Sus scrofa: one gene and its partners. The protein of the gene in region 1 interacts with the protein of each later gene in a biochemical or structural test. Links are inferred from orthologs where the notes say so. Each region holds a gene or a part of one and is shown on either strand. Other genes may lie near its edges.

Region 1 (7,148 bases):
AGTTTGTTATTTATGACGAATGATGGAAGGACAGTGACTTTGTGTGTGTAAATCAAAGCTGTTCCATCTAGCAGGTCTGGTATCTTTCAGGGTCAAAGTTAGAGGAAAAAATTGAAATGCAATTACATTATATTGTAACATTTAAAAAATATTTGTAGGAATTAAGCTGAACTGTATTGTAGTGAGAAGAACCTACATTCTCCTTTCCTGTTCACTGACCAGGTGCCTGAGTCCTCAGGTCCCAGCCTGGGCAGCCACACCTGTGCTCAGAAACTACCTTGGACCATGGGGATGAGGCTGACCTTTCTGCTCGGGGGTAAGGCGGCTCCAGCTGTTGGGAGGCTCCCCTGAGGGGGCAGCTCAGGACTTGGGTGGGCAGAGCTCTAATCCTGGACTTCCTGCCTTTAAGGATGGCCTCTTATGGATGTTGCATGCTTCCCCCCCCCCCGCCCCATTTTGGGACAAACACCTCACAGGCACCTGTCCCTGCACTGCACTGAGGGTGAGCCCCTCCCTGCTTTCAGAACCCACGAGCATTGAGCCATCACACGAGGATGGAACCCTCATTATATTCATTCAGCTCACATTCCCCGAGAACCAAACTTCAGTTGCAGCTGTTAAGTAACTTCCATCTTGGTGTTGAATGACAAGGTTCAGGAAAAATATCTCTAGGGTATACTTGCGGGGGGAAGGACCTCCGTCGACATCCTCAGGGTGCACTATTTCCCAAGGGGCTCTGGGTACTGAGCACATGTTCTGGAACTTCCAGTGTTTCAGCCGTTCTGCAGGCTGAGAATCATTTGGTGGAAACCCCTGTCTTATTTCCATATCAGGTCTACAACCTGTGTAAAGGAGGAATTCTCCAGTGGTGCAGTGGGTTAAGGATTGGGCATTGTCACTGTTGTGGCCTGGATTCAATCCCTGGCCAAAAAAATCCCAAAAAATCTGTGTAAAGGAATCAGCTCCAGAACCTGGTGGTAGCAGTGGTTTTTAATTAGCTTATAATTGTGTAAGGACTTCCGATGACTTTATACAATTTAGTGAGTTCCCTGGTGGCCTATTGGTTAGGACGTGGTGCTTTTCACCTCTGTGCCAAAAAAAGAAAAAAGAAAAAAAGACAATTTTGGGCAAAGCAGCTCTTGCTGTGGCCCTGCTCATTGGGTCCCAAGAGACGGGTGTGCCCCCCACAACTGGTCAGTGGCCTGAGAACCAGCCACCTGGAGACACGTGGACTCAAGACTTCTGACTCGGGCATGGTGGGGCTCACTTTCCCACCTGACTGGACCTTGAGCAGCATCCAAACACACTGAACTGAGCTGGAAGGCCAAGCTTGGTCCTAGAGCTGAAAGCTCCAGGCCTTTGCCCCAGCCCAACCATGGCCTCTAAGTAGGAGGCACTGAAAGAAGTAGGACGCACGGAGACCAAATTTAACCCACACTAACATTTTAATGCTGTTTAAACACTCAATTAAATCATTTTTGGAGTTCCTGTCGTGGCTCAGTGGTTAGCGAATCCGACTAGGAACCATGAGGTTGTGGGTTCGATCCCTCCTGGCCTTGCTCAGTGGGTTAAGGACCCAGCGTTGCTGTGAGCTGTAGTGTAGGTTGCAGACGCGGCTTGGATCCCGAGTTGCTGTGGCTCTGGCGTAGGCCGGTGGCTACAGCTCCAATTAGACCCCTAGCCTGGGAACCTCCATGTGAGCAGCCTTAGAAATGACAAAAGGAAAAAAAAATTTTCTATGAACACTTTACTAATGAATGTTGATTCTAAATAAAAAAGGCCAATTCATGAGAGTTCCCGTTGTGGCGAAGCAGAAACGAATACAACTAGGAACCATGAGGTTGTGGGTTCGATCCCTGGCCTCGCTCAGCCAGTTAAAAGATCTGGTGTTGGCGAAGCAGAAACGAATACAACTAGGAACCATGAGGTTGTGGGTTCGATCCCTGGCCTCGCCCAGTCAGTTAAAGATCTGGTGTTGCTGTGAGATGTAGTGTAGGTTGCAGACGCAGCTCGGATCCTGCGTTGCTGTGGCTGTGGTGTAGGCCGGCAGCTGTAGCTTTGATTTGACCCCTAGCCTGGGAACCTCCACATGCCACAGGTGCAGCCCTAAAAAGCACCTCCCCCCAAAAAAAGGCCAATTCAGATCTCCTTTGCAGCAGGTTAGGGATCCAACACTGTCACTATGGAGGCTTGGGTCATTGCTATGGTGTAGGTTTGATCCCTGGCCTGGGAACTTCCATGTGTTGAGGGTATAGCCAAAAAACAATCAAAGCCTTTGTCAAACTCCAGTGACTTCTGTGTTGCAGGGGTTACTTACCACAGCAGCATTTCCACCCAAGATTTTAGCCTATGGTGGTTTTAGGAGAATGACTGCTAGGAATGAGGTAATTTTTGAATAAAATGAAATTTATTCCATTTTAGTTCTTTTATGATTTAGATAAAGTACTCACCATCATGAATTTCCATGTTTATTAAAGCTTTTTTTTGTAATGAAAAATAATGCCAGATAACCAAGTATTATTTATTCTATCATTTATTGAGGAAAATGTTTGATACATATTAGGATGAAATAATAGAAAGTGACCAGACATTGGGCTGTTTCCAGCCTCATAGTAGCCAAAGGAACAAGCCAGGACTCAGCAAGGACAGGAACCCTCCAGGCACCATCACAGATCCAGCACAAGGCCAACACCCACCTGGCTGCCTCCTGTGGTCTGTACATGGTCCAGCCCTAGTGCTCAGAAGCAGGACTTGAGGACACAGGAAGATACTCTCCACCGTGTGCTCTTTACTCTGCACGGCACCTCTCTAGTAAACTGAACATCTAAGGAGCCCGTAACGACCCCGAGGCTCTCCCCAAGGCTGCTCACGGGCTTCAGAGCAAGCGCACTGTCTTGCCAGTCACCGTCAGGAAGTCGTCATCGGCCAGGGCACGTAGTGCTTCTTCAAACATGTCCCTGGTAATTGCCTTCAGGGAGAGAAGAGAAAAAGAAGTTGTGTATGTGGAGCCCCTTGTCACTGCGGCATCTCCTTTCTTGGCAGCTGCACACTGTCTCCTGCTCCCACTCAGGAGGCAAACATTCCCTGCTGAGAGGCTCTGCTCTGCGTAGCCACTTAGCTCTGCCTTGTGGGGCCAAGAAGAGTGTCACAAAAGCAGGCGAGGAGGGCATCCGACCAGAGGTCTTTCTGTGAACAGCTCAGCCTCCCTTGTTCACAAAAGGGAATCCAAGTGTTTTATCTCCCAAACAAACTTATTACCTCACATAGATTTGATAGTTATTAAGATGTGTGACAGTAACAGTGTAACAGCAAAAATATACAAACACTCTGAATATGTTATGAGGTTATTCACCGTCACAGATGATGCTAAGAGTGTATCACGGATGAAAAAGAAAAATAGTGAGTGACAAAAACGGAAACTGATAAGGTTCAAAGGCCACGTGTCCACATTCATATAGAAACGGAAAACCCAACAAAATTCTCATTGCAGTTGTTCCCTGATGGTGATTCTCTTTTGTCTATATCCACGGTTATTACTTCAACGGTAGATGCAGGAAAAAAAAACTTTAAAGCAGCATCAAAGGAAAAGAAAACTCTATTAAACAAAATATACACATTAACACTTACTATGTCAGACTGTCCCCGAATATCTTCAAAAAGTTGCTGATATTTCAAGGCTGGTGTTTTGCCCTTGGATAAAATAAGCTTTTTCAATGCTTCAGCTAACTCTTCTTTCCGCTTACGAGAAGTGGCACTCATTCCTGATTTAAAAGAAATTAATGAAGACATTTCTGCTATAACAAAGTGAAAATGTTTTAAATTTCTATTAATGTTTCTTTAGTCACGTCACCAAAAAAGGTTAGGGGATGGTGGCTGAGTGCCAGAATACACTCAAAGTCAGAACAAGTTCTGAATTGCTTCCCATTTTCTATAAGCACAAAGCTGTGACTTTCCACTGAGCAGCCCAGGCCGTCCGCATAGAAGCAGAGCTGCCCTCGCCCAGGATGCTGGACAGCACGAAGCCCTCTGCAGTCAGACACTGCTGCGTGGGCATGTCTGTCTCTCACAACCCCCACCAGTCTGGGGAGGGACACGGTGCCCGTGCAGCGCACCTGTGGTCAGGATGGAAATGTCCACAATGCCGGTCCGAGGGTCGGTCGCAGACTGCTTTAGGGCCTCCCGGTGCAGGCGCTTCGCCTCCTCCACGTCAACTGCCTCTACCTTGTTTGAAAAGCGCACTTTGGCGTGGGCTTCGGCTAGACGGATCAGTGACTCCAGCTGCCGGGGGTACGCGGACACCATCCCTCGGCTGCTGCCAATCTTCCTCATGTCCACATAAGCCTGCGAACACACAGACAAGCTGCCACTTCTTGCATGATGACGTCTGAACCCTGGTTGCTTGGGCTCCCCAGAAGCAAACCAAACCCCTACCCACCTCTCTGTGCAGACCAAGAGGGGGGCAAGAGCCAGGTCCAGCTCGGGCCTCAAACTGTTAGGGCCGAGGGGTCTGCCCAGGACACACAGGGGCCTGGTGCTCAGAGGATGGGCTGTATCAGGAACCCATCTGGCCTGTTTACACAGCAGCCAAGGGTTACTGGGCTAACGTGCAATGAGGTCAACTGTTTAAATGCACGTATGGATGACAAATTCCATCGAGATGATATAGATGGGCAGTTGCCTATCAGGTGTAACTCTCATCAGAGCATTTTTTGGGGCCTGTGTCAGGATGTAAAGCCCATCAAGAGCGAATAAAAATCCCCAACAAACAGAAAAAGGAGTTCTACAGTGGTCTAGTATCGTCATTGCTGTGGTGTGGGTTTGATCCTGCCCTGGAAACTTCCGCATACTGCAAGTATGGCTGAAAAAAAAAGCAGCCCAACAAAACATCAGGAACTTCCTTAGTATCATGTGTGAATAACCTGATGTGTGTCTTCATGCAGTGCTGCCCATGTAAAAGTTGCTGAAAAGTGAACATAAAAACAAGTAGATGAAGACCAGAGTTACAAAACTAAGTAGCACCACCTCTATTTTGGCTCAGGTCTTAAGGATACCATGTTTACAAGTATTTAAATAGAAAAAAAGTGCTTAACATGTAGAAATGAATCCTTTCCCCTTTCGACATTTGGAAAAGTCAGTTATGCAACACAGGAGGGAAAGTAGTTGCAGAAGAGCGTCTGTTGCTCTTGCCCAAACACTGGCTGCTTCAGAGGCTGCATAGCGCCCACAGTGCTCGGGCCTTAGGCAGCCTCGAGCGGACCTGGTACCTCGATGAGCGCCTGGCTGGCGTCCTGGCTCAGCCGGGGCAGGACGGTGCTGTGTGCATAGGCGATGTAGTCCCTGAGCACTGCCATGTCCATGACCTCCTCCTGCGCCTGCTCCTCGCTTTGGTAGTACAGGGACACCAGGTGGTGCGCCAGACGCCGGTCATAGGCTTCGTCCTGGGGGTCCAGCATGAGGAAGATGAGGTCAAACCTGAGAAGACATGGTCAAGGTTCCCTGTGGAGACAGCAGTGCACCTGCAGGGATGCCCAGGTGCACACCTTGAGCGCATGCTCCCTGCAGCTCTCAGGCACCAGAGGCTCCTGAGTCGGGAAACACCGTGACAGTTCTGAAGACTGAAGATGCAAATGGAAATAATTCAACAGTTCCAGGGGAAAGGAACCATTTGTTAAAAGAGTTGAGCCATCGAAATCTAAAATCTGCTTATGAAATACACCTATGTCTGAGAAAAGTGTGGGCTACGTGACTCCTTTTCCACCAGCTACATTTTCAGAACCTTTTCTACCACACGAAGCTGCTCTCTGCACTTTGCTGCTGACCCTACAGCGGCTGTAGGACCCCGTGCCCACAGAGACAGGCTTCTGCAAGGGCCAAGGTGAAAACACAAGCCTACTTCAGGGGAGCAGAGAAACACACAGTCCTCATCTTGAAAACCCGTGACGACCGGATCTGCAGACATCTACATTGCAGTGAACAGCTTATGACGGTGGCACGCATTGTCTTGGTGCTTCCTTTCGGCCACCCCCGTGGCACACAGAAATTCCCAGGCCAAGGGTCGAATCGGACCTGCAGCTGTGACCTACTCCATAGCGTGGCAATGCCGGATCCCTAAGCCACTGTGCCACTTACAGGGAGAAGCTGGATCCTTAACCCACGGTGCCACAGTGGGAACTCAACTATTTCCTTCTCTTCATCTCACCCCCAAGCCTTTCTAAATGAGCAAAGCATAACCATCTTCCATAAAAATACACTTCCATACCTCGATAACAGTGTGTGGGGCAGCTGGATGTTTTCAATGGTGGTTTTTTTCGGGTTCCACTGAGACTCGATAGGGTTTGCAGCTGCCAGGATGGAGGTGCGGGCGTTGAGCTGACAGATGATCCCAGCCTAGTAGAGGTACAGTGCAGTTAGAAGCCTTAGTCCCTCTGTCAGGGACCTGCTGTCACCACGAGCCACAGGGCCTAGCACAGTGACCTCACCACCAGGGACAGCGCCCTGAGTCAGATTTGTGCTGTTTCAGATCAGCTTTTGCTCTGAACACATCTTTCTCAGGAACTGACCCCTCGCACAACATTTAGGACAAACTTGAGTTCTATGAGGACAGTGACAGGAAAATACCCAGAGCCTGAGCTCCAGGCCCCGGTATGTCACCTTGGCGATGGAGAGTGTCTGCTGCTCCATGACCTCGTGCAGCACCGACCGCGTGCTCTCGTTCATCTTGTCGAACTCGTCGATGCAGCAGATGCCATTGTCACTCAGGACCAGGGCCCCCGTCTGCAGCACGAGCTGCCGCGTCTCGGGGTCCTTGGTGACATAGGCGGTGAGGCCGACGGCACTGGAGCCCTTCCCGGATGTGTACTGGCCCCGCGGCACCAGGTTGTACACGTACTGCAGCAGCTGGGACTTGCTGGTCCCGGGGTCCCCGCACAGCAGGATGTTGATCTCGGCCCGGAACTTGCCTCTCCCTGTGTGGCTGAAGTCCTTCCTTGTTCCGCCAAAGAGCTGAAGCAAGATTCCCTGGACACAGACAGGCCCAGTCACCAACAGCCAGCGGTGGAAACGTGGCTGAATGCTTGAGGCGCTTTTCTACCCGGTGAACAGTGTTAGTCACCAGAGCGCAGGAGGACCAGGGGCAGGAGGCAAGTGCT
Region 2 (8,408 bases), on another chromosome or scaffold:
CGTTCGCATGCCTTCTGTGATATCTGGTTGTTTCCTCATGTAGTGCGCTTTAGGCCGGTATCTCATCTGCTTGGGGAGAGAATTTTGATACTTAAATAGTTGCTATGATGGAAAGATCACTGATCACTCCACAGCACAGTTGCTACTTTTAAAAACCCCATGAGCAAAGGCTAGGAGGAAACTCAATCAAGAGCCAAATAAATCTCGATGATGATATGGAAGAAAGTACGAAATTCTGGTTCTGTAATGTCATTCATTAACAAGGAACTTAAACGGGGCAGGGGGGCGATAATGCTCATTTCAAGAGTGAAATACTTAATATACTAACCCTTTGAGTCTTAGATAAATAGTCCAAGTAATTGCTATTCACCTCCCAACTATTATTTTTCATACATGTTCGTAGTGTTTACATGTTACAAGAATGCCACTCACTAGTGGTTATGGCCGAGAGTTTATACCTATCTCAACATGAAGTGCTTGGGGTGCTGGGAATGGAAGGAGAAGTTGGGAGGACTCACTTCAGCTTCTCTAAGGTACTGATGAATTTCTTCAGCATATTCAGTCACATTTATCACATCTGTACCAAAATCTGATGCATCTTCAGACTGGGAGTAGAGAGATGAATCTACCAGCATAGGGGAAACTGCAGGGGGTTCAACATTGTCAGGTAAGACATTTAATTTAAAAACTAGTTCCATCCACTAACCCTCCATAGGCAGTTGTGGAAACCATTACTACTTGGTGGTTATCTTTTGCTTGCCATATGCTAGTGAACACTGCCGGCGATTACAAACCCAGGGTACTGTCAGCCATAGGTGCGTCAGATTACCTGTGTTAAAGTCCAACAGGAAGTGAAGGTCTGACTTGAATGTGCTGGTGTCTACTTCATAGGCATCCTCAAATGCCATCCCCTCTCTCCCTGCGCAGCTGTCTCTGTCCCCCTGCTCGGGCTCATCCATGTAGATGTCAAATCCTTGCTTGGCTGGTGCCTGAACCCCGCTGTCAGAGAGCACCTTCTTTCCGGCTGGAGGGAGGACATTTTCGGATCCAGAGAAACACCTGAGTGCTGTGATCTCCTAGAAAAGGGTTAAGGTTTTTTTGTTAGAGGCCATCCCATAGACCAAATAGGTGTTAAGAACTTGTGCAATTCAAACTGGTAGTCTGGGAAGATGAGAGGAATCTTAAATTGAAGTATCTGTGTCAGCCACTGAACTTCAGAAAATGAAGCTGCTGAAGAATGACTTTGCCATTTGTCTACATTTGACATTTGGGAAAGGAGCTACCTAAAATTTGTCATCTTCCTCACAGTATTTATCAAAGAGAACACAAGATTATAGAACAAAAAAGAAAAACTATAGCTCTCCTCTGAAGTGAAATAGGTACCACATATGGCGGGGGGGGGGGAAATGTAAATCAGTTTCATGCTTATAGCATCACAGGCTTTTATACCAACCCAGCAAGGTTCCTGCCACATAGTTACTGAGTTCCTATTGTCCTTAAATAGTTAACTTTTAGTCAACAAGCTTCTGTAAAATTCCCATTTATATCTGATTATTTAGAGATGTGATGATTTTAGAAAGGTATATACATAAATTCTCTTACAAGCCATAGAACCTTATTATAGGACATAATGAGATTCTAGAGACTGTAAAAAGTATAGCTAATAGTATTTTCTCAGCAAATCAGATGTGGGGTGGGAGAAGAAGAGTCAAGCATGACCAAGGTTTTAGGGTTGAATAACAGGAAAGGTGGATATTCCATTTGCTGCAGTGAGGCAGACTCTGAGAAGAACAGGTTGAGACCAGGGATGGCGTTTGATTTCACATAAGTTTGAGATGCCTACCATATGATGTAAGTGGAGACATCAAAGAGGCAGCTGACTGTATAAGCCTGCAACATGGCTAAGAGGTCCAGACAGGAGCTAAAAGAATGAGTCATCAACAGAGAGATGGTATTTAATGCCAGGAGACTGGAAGAGATTGCTATGGGAGTGAGTGGAGATTCAGCTCAAATACGAAGCCCTGGCACACTCTAACTTTTAGCGAGCGGATGAGGAAGGACCACCGAGGAGGTACAGCCAGTGAGCTAGGTTGGAAACCAGGCCCTGTTCTCCAGACTGCGTGAGAAGAAACTATTTCAAGGAGTGAAGAATGATCAACAATGTCAAATGCTGCCAACTGGTCAAGTAAGGAAAGGCTTGAGAACTGATTAAGAATTGAGTCAAAGAGAACAAGAGAAGAATCTGAGACACAGTATTTGTTCAATAAATCCTCGCATGCTACCCTGGCCAGGCACTGTTCTAAACACTGGAAGTACAGCAGTAAACCCAATGTCCCAAACCCTCATCCTGATGGAATTTACATAGACAAACCCTCAAGAAATACTGCCATAAATGGGACAGTTGCTGCAAAGAGCTTTGTAGTTGCAAGGTTTTTAGGAATGAAAAAAAAAAAAAATCACAGTATATTTTCATGCTTCTGGGTTTGATCCAGTGGAAAAGAGAAAGACAAGGTGATGGAATGATATCCTTAAAAAGGCAAAAGGGCATAAGGTGTGCTGCACACACGGGGCGTTCCCCTTGCATAAGAGCAGGGACACATGGGTTACGTAGCGGGAAGGGGGTGGCAGAGTATATGGTAGGTACACGGGACCATGTGGAAATTCTCTTCCGGTTACATCTATATTTTTAGGAAAATAGGATATAGTTATTAACTGAGAGTAAGGATGGAGATGGAGGCTTTCAAGGATAAAAAGAGAAGGGAATGTATAAAATAGGAGGTTTCTATAAGAAGGGTGCAGAGGAATAGAGTCGGGAAATGTAGAGGTATCGCCAGGCAACACAGAGCTTAATTGACAGTTGTGAATTTAAAGTGAGCTCAGTCAGCGTAGGTGTAACTGCCAATTCGTAAGAGGTTTTCAACTTCAAGTTTAAAGAAGTAAACACCACTAAGCACATTAAGTTTGTTAAAACCACCTTTACTCTGTTTTTTCCAACGCTTGAAACATTACTTTGGGTATTTTTCTCTCACTAATCAGATGTCACCAAAACAGATGACTTGAATAGTCTGTAGATGAGGAGAGGCTTCTGATCTGGTCTCCATCATGAATTTCTTTTCTTTTTTGGTCTTTTTTAAACCTCTCAAATTTGCTCACATATAAAATGGAAAGAACACCTGCCCACCTATGTCACTGTATGGTTGCCAATGTCATTCCACTACATATGTACACTACAGACTTAAGGCATGGTTATGAGAAGCTTTGTCTAATAACAGACTTAGATTTTTTTTGTTTAATCTCAAAATTCATTCTTAAGGATCCAAACTCCTCTTTTACATTATAAGTCTCTGAATTTGTTTACAATCAGTTAAAGGAAGTATCTCTGATCCGTTAAGTGCAAGCAACTAATGTCAGATGGCCCATGAGCTGTTTGCCCAACTGTCCTTAGTCAGTCCTGGAGAGAAGTCTACTTTCAAAGCACGCATTTTGAAGTAATCTAGGATAGGCTGATCCAATCCTGATTCTACACCATCACCAATGAACTTAAAAGTTACCCAGGATGCCTCAGGCACAGCCGAGATCAGTGTGGATACCGCTCCAATCTGTGGGAACCCCAGTTCCACAGTTTATTTTGGAGCATTCTCATTTCCTTTTAGCCCAGAACTTAAATGACTTTACGCATACTTACTCTAAACAGTTCCTAGGTTTCTTTCCTTGATATCGGAAAAATAACAGAAAAGTATTCAATATTTCTAGCTAGAAAAAGGACCCAAGAAAGAAATCTTTAATAAATCAAGGTCCCTCTAGTCCAGATTCCAGGGTTGAAATACTCAGGGGACGTCTGTAGGTAAAACTGCCAGAGAAACCCACCTCTCACCATGACATGAGAGCCCTTCTCAACAGGTAACCGTCCCAGCTCTTCTCAGTCGTTACCTGGCCACAGGTCCTCCTGTATTGCCCATTCTCGGTTAGCACCCCTAGTACTGTTCTTTGTGGTGGATCCTGGCTGAGCTGGGCTCTGGACATCATCTGACAGGCATCAGGACCTCCGGACACTGGAGCCAGCACTCTCCCGCTCTTGGAGCTACTGAGATGCATAGCCTCAGTCTCCACAGGCTACTGCTATCAGGGAAGGAGAAACAGACATGCTGGTTAGTCAACCTCTTCCAGCACGGGCTCCAGAATGCAGCAAATCCCCAGAAGAGAGAGCACTGAAACATATGATCTTCACTGCAGTTATTAGGGTTGAAAAGGCCTGAGCCACGGTGCAAGCGATCAAAGCTACTTTGAACCAAAACAGGGATTTGAATCTCTCCAGGCTTTCTTCCCAAACCAGGCTGACGGCTGGAAGGAGGAAGGCAGACCTCCACGGCCGGACACTAAGCCCCAGGTTAATTGGGAGTCCAAACCTACAGGTCTATGTCTTTTCCGGCTATGAGACTTATCCATCACCCCACCATCCCTCTGCCTGCAGTCGACCCAGGATACATCACTGTGGGAAAATATATCCCCTTCCCAAGTGACAAGAAGCGTGCTCTTCCGCGGCCCTCCTCCCGCAAGACATAAGACCCCAAAACCTGCTTGAAGCCCACAGCGGGCCTCGCTCGTCTCAGCTTTATGTCTTTATATATGTCTCGAACAATTGGCAAGTGCACACCAGGATTGGGAATGAGGGGCAGCCTAAGGGGGCGGGGGCGGGGCGGGGCGAGGCGGAAGGGGACCGAGGTGTTAATAGATTCCAGCCTTGGCGCCGGGATCTCAGCCTGGGCTGCCAGCTCCTCAGCTCTAATTATTTTCAACTCCCCCGCCCCCCGCGTCTGTTGAATCGGCCAATCAGCGGCGCTCTCGGGCCTCACGGGGGGGCCGTTTCCATGCCAACCGCGGCCGGCGTGCGCGATCCGGGTCGCATCGCTATGGCGACCTCCTCACCTGACACGCTCGGGGCGGACGCACCGCGACCCCTGGGCGTTCAGGGCTGGGAGGGACCAACCGGCAGCCGCCCCGGGCTCTTCCTGCGCTGCCCTGCCCGGGCGTGCCCGGGCGAGCGGGTCGCCGCGGGCACCCGCGCCCTTTCTGGCTGGCCTCCCGGGTCTGGCAGGGAGGAAGAAGGCCCACCCCGCGATGGCCAGGGTTTGGAAGGGACTGTTTCCTTGAACCCGTTCTCCCAACAGCCACTAACTCCTCCCGCCAACGTCTTTTCCTCGGCCCGCTCCTGAGAACCTTGGCTCGGGAGAGCGACGCGGGGCCCTCGGGGCTGCGCAGGCCGTGGCGCCTTGACCGCGCCCGCCCCAGAGCGCGGCTAGATCCCCTTCGCTGGCCCACACACCTACACCTTCTCCCAGAGAGAGGCCACATAGCTGCGGGTTGGCCCCTGGTTTGGGCTGGGGCTTCCTAATCCGTGGTGGCGGCGTGTCCTCGCTCATTTTGAGTCCTTGCGCACCAGAGGTTGCTCCTGGTCGGCCCGGGTTCTGGTGCATTTGGCCCGGCAGGGTGGGAGAGGAGATCTGGGGTTTTAGGGTCGCACGTGGTGCGGACAGTCCCCACGAGAGGTCTTCCCTGGCGGGTTCCGGCAGTCACGGCCTGAGGCGGGTCCAGGAACGCCGAGATAGTGGCCCAGGAAGAGGAAGGAACGCGGGTGGCAGCGATGGGGCTTGGGACGTTGAGGGAGAACGTAATGAGGCTCGGAACTGGGTTCGGGGCAGGTGGCCTCGCCACGTGGGGAGGAAAATCCTTGGATGGGGGTCCACCCGCAGAAGTTAACTGGCAAGGCAGGTAAAAGAGTCTTTAACGTTGTGATTTTTTGGAAAATATTTGTGTGCACATGTGTGTGTATCTGTGTGCACACACATATACACATTGCATATAAAACGTTGCTGCTTTTGTCTGCTTTTATTTTTTTAAATGCTCATCCCTAAGCAGACCACCAAAACCATTTAAATGAGCATTTTAAGAAATGATTAGCTGATCAGTTATCAAAGTTCCCCTCGTGGTGCAGCGGAAAGGAATCCGACTAGGAACCAGGAAATTGCGGTTTGATCCCTGGCCTCCGCTCTTTGGGTTAAGGATCCAGCGTTGCCATGAGCTGCTGGTGTAGATGGAAGACGGGGCTTGAATCTGATGTGGCTGTGGTATAGGCCTGCAGCTACAGCTCCTATTCGACCCCTAGCCTGGGAACCTCCATATGCCGCTAGTGCAGCCCTAAAAAGCAAAAAAGAAAGAAAGAAATGATTAGTTACCACCTTCCTTATTTTGAATGGAAGTAATTGTTAATATTACCCCCAAGAAAACCACTCCTCTGTTCTATCTTAATGTGTTCACCCAGCAAACTGTGTATGCATTACTTTAATGAGAAAATTGAAGTATTCTACTGAAAATGAGTATGAAAGTGACTGTTCAAATCAGATGTAAGAGGAAGTTGGGAAGCTTTTTGGAAATGGGTATGGATGCAGAAGGGGCACAGAAAAGGATTTTGTTCAGTATGAAACTAGCTTCTACCTGTTTACCACCAACTTTGATTCACTGGCAAGCAGCAATCCCTTTGCACCCTGAAATCCCTAGGCCTTTGAATATGAAGGCAACAGGGGAGCTCCAGCAATTTGTGGTAATGGATGTAGGCACCAAGGGCCTGGCTTTGCAAGCTGCCGCTATCTGGTGAAGAAAAAGAGCCTTTCTGCCTCGTTCTCGCCTTGTGCCCCTTTTGGAAGTCTTCCCCAGAGCCCTCCCTCATTTGGGGACACTTGTGATTTCTGAGGATGTTGAATACCTTAGCAGTGAACTCTGTTAGGGACCAGGAGCAAGTCTCACCAAGATAATTCTAAGCTAGATGGGACCCTTGGAGAATTTCATACCTATTTTCCCCTTCCTCCCTCATGTGAACAGCTGCAGCCTGATCCAGCCTTAATTCGGATATTGTCATTATTGTTATTACATGTTACCATCTTCTCTCTCCATCCACTTTGTTCAACTTGGCAAAAGGAAATGATAGATGGCCTATGATTGTATTGTTGTGCTGCCATAAAATTCCGTATTAAATCATTGTAGTCCTCTGGTCAGATCTTAAATTGGAGAGTGATTTAGGTGAACTGATATTTATGTATCTTTATGTGTGTGCACATATAAATTCAGGTATTTGTATTACTTGTGCAATACTTATGGCTTTCCTGAGTTTTAAAAAAAGATCTTCACTAAATATTTGAACAAGTAATGATTCACGTCCTAAAAACAAACTCACCTAATAAATAGATGCTTGCTTTTTATTAAAAATTTCAGGGAAAACCTGGCCTTATAATTAGAAAAAATAGAAGCAGAGAATAGAAAGGACTTTCTCACAAATTATGCAGTTTTAGTGAGATTCATAGTTTTGCTGCTAGAGCAAACTCAGGATTAGAACTCAAAGCTGAGTAGACTTTCAATGTCTGCATGTTTTACATAAAGTATTTGTTAATATATTGAGAAGCGAACAGTACGTCTTATTATAGATACATCTTTGATGTCTAAAATACTGGGTATAACTTATATGCTAATATAACACTTTCTTAGCTTAAATTACTTGATCAGCACTTCTCCTGATATTTGGTGCCTAGCTAGTTTTGATGCTGAGATTAATTTTCATAATAAGGATAACAGCTGAATTCTTTACTAGGGGTTTTTAAAACCCAAAAGTCTTATTAAAACTGACTCCTCCCCCATCCAAATTTCAATTCAAAGAGAATCTTTTCTGTTTGCCAGCAATTACCTGGTTCAGAAGCTGTTATTACTTCTATTCCGTTTGCTCATTGTAGCTAGTAATTAACCTCCTGTTCAGACATTTACGTTTTCATTAATTGGTATGAAATCAAGTTGATTTTCAGCATAGGGCTGAAAAAGTAGAAAATTCAGTTTCGTTTTGTTTTGTTTTGTTTTGTTTTTAAAGGACAGAAGTCCTTTTAAGGGACACATTTTGCCTGCGCATGGTCATGCCTTTGCCGTTCTCAGTATACATTTACATTTAGAATACAGCTATGTGGAGTTCCCGTCGTGGCGCAGTGGTTAACGAATCCGACTAGGAACCATGAGGTTGCGGGTTCGGTCCCTGCCCTTGCTCAGTGGGTTAACGATCCGGCGTTGCCGTGAGCTGTGGTGTAGGTTGCAGACGCGGCTCGGATCCCGCGTTGCTGTGGCTCTGGCGTAGGCCGGTGGCTACAGCTCCGATTCAACCCCTAGCCTGGGAACCTCCATATGCCGCGGGAGCGGCCCAAGAAATAGCAACAACAACAACAACAACAAAACAACAACAACAAAAAAGACAAAAAGACAAAAAAAAAAATAGAATACAGCTATGTGATAAGATGAGGGACAGATGTTGGGGGTAGTGAGTGATTTGTGACATTACAACGTTATTACAATGTCACAAATAGCTCCAGGGAAGGTGA
Region 3 (8,469 bases), on another chromosome or scaffold:
GCCTAGCACACTGTAGATGTTCAATCAATACAGAAGGAAAGAAAGAAGTGGGATAGGTAGGTAGACTACAGTCATGGCCAAATACATATTTTGTAATATCCTAAAGGAATTTGCAATCTATTTCAAAACATAATACAACCTCTAGACCAACTCATTATGCTTAACTGCTCCTGCAGGTGCCACAACAGCCTCTGAATTATACTGTCTCAGAGTGAGCCACTCTCAAATTTTGAATTCTGCGTAGCTTATTCTCCATTTTTCACCCTTCACTTAGGTTGTGGTCCAGGACTCAATATGTTTATTGTTCCTTGGTTTCCCAGCCTATCCTAACCTGAGGCATGGACTTCAAGGCCATAGCCACTATCCTTTCATAAGCTTAGCCTGGAAAACTAAAAACTAACCTCAGAAAAACCTTAGGCCCTCCAATTCACCAAGGTAGTGAGACTCTAAAACATGAAAATTAACTAATAAAAATAGCAAAAGAACACATTTCAGGAGATAATATATCAATAAATTACTGGGATATTACTGAAGGCCCCAAATAAGGAGATAAAAGGTTGAATCTAAGTCAGGCTTGCTATGAAAAAGAAAGAGGAGCAACCTCCAGCCAGCCAGGTAGAGAGGCTTAAGAAAAAGAAGAAAGGGAAGTGGTATTACAGAAGAATGATTAAATCCATTTGTCTACACTCTAGAATAAAAATGTATATTTGGGAGTTCCCGTTGTGGTGCAGCAGAAACAAATCTGACTAGGAACCATGAGGTTGCAGATTCCATCCCTGGCCTCACTCAGTGGGTTAAGGATCCGGCATTGCCATGAGCTGTGGTGTAGGTCCCAGATGCAGCTCGGATCTGGCATTGCTGTGGCTATGGTGGAGGCCGGCAGCTGTAGCTCCTATTAGACCCCTAGCTTGGGAACCTCCACATACCACAGGTGCAGCCCTAAAAAGCAAAAATAATAAGATAAAAATAAATTAAAAATGTATATTTGTATATATATGAGGTAGTCTGAAAAAACAAATTAGAGCCTCATTTGATAATCACAAAAAGGTGTGGGGTAGACAGGGCACATATTACTTCCATTTATAGATGAGGAAATTGTAGTAGAGCAGGTTAGTATTTTCCCAAGGTCATAAAATTACCTAGGATTAGAGCCAGTACTGAATGAAATTCATTTTCTCTTGATTCAGAGCCAAATGTTTTATTTAATTAGACCATGATTCTCTTCAATGGTCTGCAACTTTGCTTGAGAGAACTTTACCCAACTTTTCACAAGTAACACTGCCCCATTTCTTTTTGAATGTATACCTTTCATGTGAAGCTTATCAAGATGTACTAACATAAACCTCATTACCAACAGTCCTGATTATTTACATGATAGTAAGGAGTCCACTAAGGAGACTTATGTTAACAGGCCACAGATATATGACCATGTCCCTCTTCTGGTGGCTACTAAAAGATCTGAGTTTCATTCCCGGCTTTTTTTGGGGGCGGGGGGCACCTGCAGCATGCATAAGTTCCAGGGCCAGGTAGGGATCAAACCAGCACCACAGCAGTGACAACACCAGATCCTTAACTAGCTGAGCCACCAGGAAATTCGTTGAGTTTCAATACCGTTTCTTTTTTTTTAGGGCCACACCTGCAGCATTCAGAACTTCCCAGGCTAGGGGCTGAACCAGAGCTGCAGCTGCCAGCCTACACCACAGCCACGCCAGATCTGAGCCACATCCTGGACTTACACGGCAGTCTGCAGCAACGCTGGATCCTTAACCCTCTGAGCTAGGCCAGGGATGGAACTTGCATCCTCATGGGTACTAAACAGGTTCTTAACCCACTGAGCCACAAAGACAACTCCCAAAAATAATTTTTTTAAATGTCCTTAGGTTACAGATCAGACATTTTTTAACACTGTCCAGTAAAAACAGACTTTCTGCTTATTCACAGCTTGACATTATCACTTACAGTGCAGTCAAGGGTGTGTCTAAAAGCCTAGGATGACAATATGTTACTGTTCTTCCTCAATACAGTAAATAAGAAAGGTACCTCATCTTTCCCTGGAACATAAAATAGACTCCCTGTTTTTCTTTTCTTCAACAGAAACATGTATAAATCTTTCCCATATCCCCCAAACCTCCCCAAGACCCTATTGTCCCTTCCTATAAATTCCCTACAGGGACAAATTTTTTAGTAATATATTCAACCTGTCTCCACTTCAAGCCCATCATTTTTATATAGTACTTACCTTAGCCATCTACTGAAACTGTCACTAAGTAACCAAAAAACATCTTCATCACCAGAATCCAAGCCCTATTTTTCCAGTCTTAGCCTTTTGGAACTCTGAAGACGGAGAGGCTGATAACAGGAGTTCAACAAAACGACAGCACTTGCCAGCTCTCACTCTATCAGGCACTGCACTAATAATTAGCTCTCAAAAGAGTTTCAATTAATTCTCAGAACACCTGGAAGTGTTTATTACCCTCTTTTCACAAATTAAAATCTAGATCAAAATTACCCAAAGCCATATAGTTAGTAAAGCCTGTCAATCCCAATGTTTTTAACTATGTGACATTTGAAGACTGGTTCCCAGTTCTAACTCTGTGGCCTTTTCTCCATCTCTTTCTCTATTTCCTCATCCTCTGCTCATCACTACTTCTCCTATTTCACATGCTCTCCAGGGCAATTTCATTTTCTCCCATGACTTTAACTGCATTCTATATTAGGTGTTTCTCAATCTTTTAAAACTTCTTGTGAACATATAAATCTTGTGCTCTTTTTGTAGCCTACATTTTGAAAACAGATTTTATTTCCCAAAAAGAAATTCTAATGGAAATATGTTTGTTCAAACTATACCTCCTCCAAGATCTGATAACCTTTTACATATCACCCTATGACTGAGAATCAGTGATTGGTCTGTACCATGTCTCTCAAATCAATCTATATTCCCTTTCTGTGCCACCACCATCACTCCCTCCAGAACATCTCCCCTGAATTATAGACAAATATTACCAAGCGTCTAATAAAGACAGTTCCACACCTGTCTCCTCAAGCCCCTCAAACTAAAACCATCACTGCAAAACTCTAATTTCCCTTAGCAAACCTGGACCACCTCTCTGTGCTCTCCATTTTGACTAACGGTATTACAATTTACCCTTATCTTTGCTTTAAACTACCTATTTGTGAAACGGTGATATCGGCACTAACTTCCCCGAGCTACTGAGTTAAAAATCAATCATTAAACAATAAGTGACCACCGAGGCCAGGAGGTAAGAAAAGCAAAACAGCACAAGATTTAACCCTTTTTACTCTTTAAGAAGTTTAAGAGCAGAAACACCAAAATTCATTTTGTATGTGTAAGCGCTCTCCCACTTAGAAAATTAATTTACTTCTCAAAACATTCAAATTTATTCTTTACTACAAGTCCCGGATGAAAAAACTGAGTCTCAAAGGGATTAGGTAATTAAACCCAAGTTTTACAGGCTAATCGGTGGTTGGTCCAGACCCCAAATCGTAGACTTGAGATTTCGAATTCCCCTTTCGTTCTGTTATTGCTGAAATAAACTTCTACCCAATAAGACGAAAACAACAGAGTGCACAGCAGAGGTTAACTGAGCGGTGCACACAAGCATCAAAAGGCACAAAGCGCCCCGGACGCGCTCCAGGCCGGGGCCTTCAGGCCCAACCCTCGCTCCGACGCCCCCCCCAAACCCGCCGCCGCTCTCTGCCGGGAGAGTCCCTTTGCGGCCTGCCTCCAGCCAGCGGGGCGACCGCGGGAAAACTACGCTCTGCGACTCTGGGCGAGCCGAACAGAGTCTGTCGCTGCCAACCTGCCCGGCCTAAAGGTGAGTCCTGGCTCGGCCGCAGCCGCCGCGCTTCCAGCCCTCCGGACAGGTCGAGGAAAACTAGCGTACCTGAGGGAGGAGGCGGCTGCAGTGCAGGCGGTCCCAGCAACCTCAAAAGGCGGGAATGACGCTGAGGGCAGGGTGGGCCGGCCTTTGGTGCTAACTGCATTCACTACGTTTGGTCAACTCCGAGCCACAGGGACTGTACAAAAAAGCATAGGGACAAGAAGCAGCAGGAACCAACCGCGAAGATGAGGCTGAGAAAGCATCGCAGTGGGGGAGGGGAGCGGGTGGAGACGCGGCCCGTGGGGGCGGGGCGCACGGCGGGAGGAGGCGGGGCGTGAGGGGTGGGGCGCGCAGCGCGAAGAGGCGGGCACGCAGGGGTCCAGCGCGACGCGAGGGGGCGGGCACGTGGGGGCGAGCGCGAGGCGGGGCGAGGCGTGCCGCGTGAGAGGGGGCGGGGCGCGCGTATCGGCGCCGCGTCGCGTGACGCGTTTTCAAATCTTCAACCGCCGCAGCCCACTCGTTGTGCTTCACCTTTTCCTGCTCCGCGCCCTGGGGTTAAGTTCGGCCCCGGAAACCCGGCGGATAGACGCGGCCTCTCTCCTTCGTGGGTGTGGTGGCCCGCGGAAGAGGAGAAGCGAGCGGCCGGTCAACGGGCCTCGAGGAGCTGTGTTTCCGCGGCCACCCGGCGCGACACCCTCCCCGGACCCAGCATGTAGGTACCGGCGAGTTGCCATGAACTCCGGAGCCATGAGGATCCACAGCAGAGGACATTTCCAGGGTATGAAGCCCCTCCTCCGCCCGCAGTCCCTTTAATCCTTTCCTCCCCTCCTGGTTCCATTATTAATTCTTGAGATTTCTCGCGCTGAGTCTGCTGCTTTCCTATTCTGACATGTTCCTTCTGCTCTGAGGCCTGAAGGAAGGCTCGGTTTAAGGTTTTGCCTCAGAAAGTGAGTGGATCCCGGCCCTGCTCTCGCGCCCTCAGCGTTCCAGCTTCAACCGCAGATTCCCAGTGGTGCCTTCGGTTGTGAAATCTGAAGACAATGTGCGAACCCGGGAACTCTCCGGGGCTCCCACAGACGCTGCGACCGTTTGAGGCTGTAGCTAGAGTCTCTTTAAAAGCAGATGTGCTGAGGGCTTTTCGCTTCAGGATTAAATTGGGTGATTGTGGGTGTAGATTTTTGGTTTTACTCATAAAGTGGAGGGAAAGTATTTGTATTTCAAACACACCATTGTTGTTTTCAAAATAGAAACAAAGGTAAATTTTCATTTTTCGATCACTTTTATTTGGTAAAGGATTCCAGCCTTTAAGTTTTCCTTTTAGATGTATAGTGTATATGTATATTTACTGTGGTCTTCTACTTATGAGCAGATTGAGTCCTTAATTTTTTAAACAGTTGTTTGGATCTCAAATTTGTTTTCAAAAGAATGAAATGAATGGTGATTTAGTTCTTCAAATGGACCATTTAGTTCTTAATATGTACAGTAACTCTGACTGAAACTAAACCTTGAGCAGATAGAAACTAGAGGATTGGGTCATTCTGGGTAACAGGTTTCTTGCATTATTTGATGTTCAACATGTTAAGTACCAGTTTTGAGTGTTCAACAGAATGGCAGAAGCTCCTTGAGTATTTGGTAAGTACTCCACGGAGTTTACATCCTAAGATGTAATTGGTTTCATATAGTTCCCTGCCTTAACGCATAAAACATGAATAAACACGTATTTCCTGCAAATCTAACTACTGACTGTAAGCAGTAATTATTTTGTGACATAGTGTTTGTTAAAATATATAGGGTATTTTGCCTTTATTCTGTGTGGTACTACAAAATGTTAATGACTGCTAAATTAGTGAAATTATAAAGATTTTTCCCTCTATATAGTATGATTATTATATAAACGAATATTTTCAAAACAGTAGAAATTTCATCTACATAAAACATCATCTGATTCTAAATTTTTTAAACAACAGGTGGAATCCAGGTTAAAAATGAGAAAAACCGACCATCTTTGAAATCTCTGAAAACTGATAACAAACCAGAAAAATCCAAATATAAGCCACTCTGGGGAAAAGTGTTTTATATTGACTTACCTTCTGGTGCCCTGTCTGAAAAACTGCAAAAGGACATTAAGGATCTAGGAGGGGTAAGTCAAAACCATACACTTTTGACGAAAAAAGAAAACTTTGTAACTAGTACTTTCTAATATGTAATCATTTAAATTTTTCTTTTTGGAAAACTTACAACCACATAAACACTAAGCTTAAAATTTCTATCAGCTGTTGATCATAAATGATAAAATTTTCAGGTTTCTGTGATTATTAGTCTGGTGTAAAGTTCACAAAGAGTGAGATTGTCTTCTGGTTGTCTTGTTGGGATATCCTCCAGATGGAAGGAGCTTCTTGATTATGATTGGGAAGCTACATAAAAGAATGTTATTTACAGAACATGGAAAACTGTTCAAACCACAAAGACTTAAAATTCCTCTTGAATGATAAAGTCTCAGTAGAATGAATGTCATTAAGAAAACAATTTTGGATTATAAGTTATTATAAATTATAAATATGGAAAACCTGCTTCTTTCTTACCTTATACATGGAGTAAATGGTTAGCAAATTAGAAAATTTGGGTTAAATTCTAAGATTTTCTTAGAATTAAAGTTAATATGGGGTAAATTTTAGTGAGGTTAAGATTATATTTCCTACTTCAGAGGTTTCTGCTGTGCTTTGAATTTGTGCTAGTTAACATCTTTGAATAATATGAGCAGATCCTGCCATGACTGGAATTTGCAGACCATGTAACAAGTGTTTTGTAATTGTTTATTGATGTGATATTTTACTTCATCTTGGAAGAGCTACTTTTTTGCTATTCATTTTTTAAAACTAAACATTGTCACACATTTGTCATAATAGTTAAGTACTTAAGTATCCAGAGAAGTTAAGTGACTGGTCCAGGGTAGAATTAGCCTAATTTCCTGACTCACACACATGTACTGTGCTATTCTGATCTAGCAATCAATGGCTACAAACTACCTATCATCTGATGTAGTTTAACAGCTTTCTGTTAAATATGATGGAAAAATTCATAAACCCTTCTGATCTAAAACAGTAATTTTAGATTTGTTTTTAGCAATAGAACCCTTCTAACAAAACATGTTCAGAAGTCCAAAGTACATAGCCAGTAAAAGGAAACTGCTCTAACTAAAACAGCAGTGTAATAGCTAGTACAGGGACTCCCTGCCCTGCCCACCTTTTTTTCTCTCTCCTCTTTCCCATAGCAGTTCCTGAGGCAAGAAATTTTGAGTTAACTTACGCATTAGATAATAATTTAGAGACAGTTTGAAAGCTGGTTTCATATACTTCAAGTTTTTATCCTAAAAAAGTTTGAAGTGGACCAGTGAAGTGAGGAGCATGTTAATGGCAATAAGTGTCCAAATTTTTCCCCAAAGCTGTGGATTTTTTTAACTTTATGACTTAATTTCTCCTAAAAATTTTTATTATCAAATTCTTACCTCCCCACACATGCAGACACAGATGCAGCTCGGATCTAGCATTACTGTGGCTGTGGCTTAGGCCGGCTACTACAGCTTCAATCTGACCATTAGCCTGGGAACCTCCATATGCCACTTGTGCGGCCCTCAAAAGACAAAAAAATCTGTTAAAACTCCTCTGTGTCCCATTGTCTATTCAGACCTCAGCAAACATTTGTTTACCAATTTATTTTCCCATCTCCATGTCAATTGCCTTCCTCTTCGTTGATGTCTACCCCCGCCAACATCCTCTTCTGTCTTTAGCTGCATACAGCATTTAAGGCAAGGGCTTAAGCTATTTTGTTGAACTACGCAGTTTTCCTGGGTCTCCCCCATTTGTATACATGTTATTAAAGGTTTGTTTGATTTTTTTTTTTTTTTTAAAGGATCAAGGAGCTCCCTGGTGGAGTAGTGGGTTAAGGATCCAGTGTTGTTCCTGTTGTGGCTTGGGTCGCTGCTATAGTGCCAGTTCAATTCCTGGCCTGGGAACTTGCACATGCCACAGGAACAGCCAAAAAAAACCAAAACATAGATCGAGATCTAAACGTAAGAGCTAAAACCCATAGAGGAAAATAAAAGAAATTTTCTTTTTTTTTTTTTGCTTTTTAGCAGCATATGGAACTTCCCAGGCTAGGGGTCCAATCAGAGCTGCAGTTGCTACAGCTTCCAGCCTACACCACAGTAATGCAGGATCTGAGCCGTGTCTGCCATCTACACCACAGTTCACAGAAATGCCAGATCTTTAACCCACTGAGCGAGGCTAGGGATTGAACCCACAACCTCATGGTTCCTAGTTGGATTCATTTCCACTGAGTCACAATGGGAACTCCAAAAGGAGAAATTTTCATGACATATTTGGCATGGATTCCTTGGCTATGACACCAAAAGCACAGACAACAAATGAAAAAGATATGTTAGACTTAATAAAAATGAGGTTTTGTACATCAAAGAACATTATCGAAAGGGTAAAAAGATAACCCACACAAGAGAAAAAAAATTGCAAATCAGGAGTTCCCGTCATGGCGCAGTGGTTAACGAATCCAACTAGGAACCATGAGGTTGCGGGTTCGGTCCCTGACCTTGCTCAGTGGGTTAACGATCCGG

The links. The genes of interacting proteins can lie anywhere in the genome.
Region 2: the proteins of MCM4 (region 1) and CCNA1 form a complex in vitro, tested with the Homo sapiens proteins (2 studies listed by BioGRID and IntAct, with this or other methods). The link is inferred for Sus scrofa from reciprocal best matches to the Homo sapiens genes MCM4 and CCNA1.
Region 3: of the proteins of MCM4 (region 1) and DBF4, one has a biochemical effect on the other in vitro, tested with the Homo sapiens proteins (2 studies listed by BioGRID). The link is inferred for Sus scrofa from reciprocal best matches to the Homo sapiens genes MCM4 and DBF4.

The regions. Positions count from the first base shown.
Region 1 is NC_010446.5:79,672,220-79,679,367, forward strand, and holds the end of MCM4 (DNA replication licensing factor MCM4), read right to left. Parts: intron 7,018-7,148; coding exon 6,652-7,017; intron 6,388-6,651; coding exon 6,260-6,387; intron 5,473-6,259; coding exon 5,265-5,472; intron 4,342-5,264; coding exon 4,113-4,341; intron 3,762-4,112; coding exon 3,628-3,761; intron 2,969-3,627; coding exon 2,876-2,968; 3' UTR 2,518-2,875; downstream 1-2,517. UniProt on the Homo sapiens protein: Acts as a component of the MCM2-7 complex (MCM complex) which is the replicative helicase essential for 'once per cell cycle' DNA replication initiation and elongation in eukaryotic cells.
Region 2 is NC_010453.5:12,392,492-12,400,899, reverse strand, and holds the start of CCNA1 (cyclin-A1), read right to left. Parts: upstream 4,752-8,408; 5' UTR 4,575-4,751; exon of another isoform or gene 4,411-4,574; intron 4,120-4,410; 5' UTR 4,096-4,119; coding exon 3,931-4,095; intron 1,077-3,930; coding exon 830-1,076; intron 644-829; coding exon 519-643; intron 67-518; coding exon 1-66. UniProt on the Homo sapiens protein: May be involved in the control of the cell cycle at the G1/S (start) and G2/M (mitosis) transitions. May primarily function in the control of the germline meiotic cell cycle and additionally in the control of mitotic cell cycle in some somatic cells.
Region 3 is NC_010451.4:92,477,206-92,485,674, reverse strand, and holds the start of DBF4 (protein DBF4 homolog A), read left to right. Parts: upstream 1-3,718; 5' UTR 3,719-3,836; exon of another isoform or gene 3,837-3,893; intron 3,894-3,905; exon of another isoform or gene 3,906-4,151; intron 4,152-4,294; exon of another isoform or gene 4,295-4,354; 5' UTR 4,355-4,574; coding exon 4,575-4,620; intron 4,621-5,809; coding exon 5,810-5,982; intron 5,983-8,469. UniProt on the Homo sapiens protein: Regulatory subunit for CDC7 which activates its kinase activity thereby playing a central role in DNA replication and cell proliferation. Required for progression of S phase.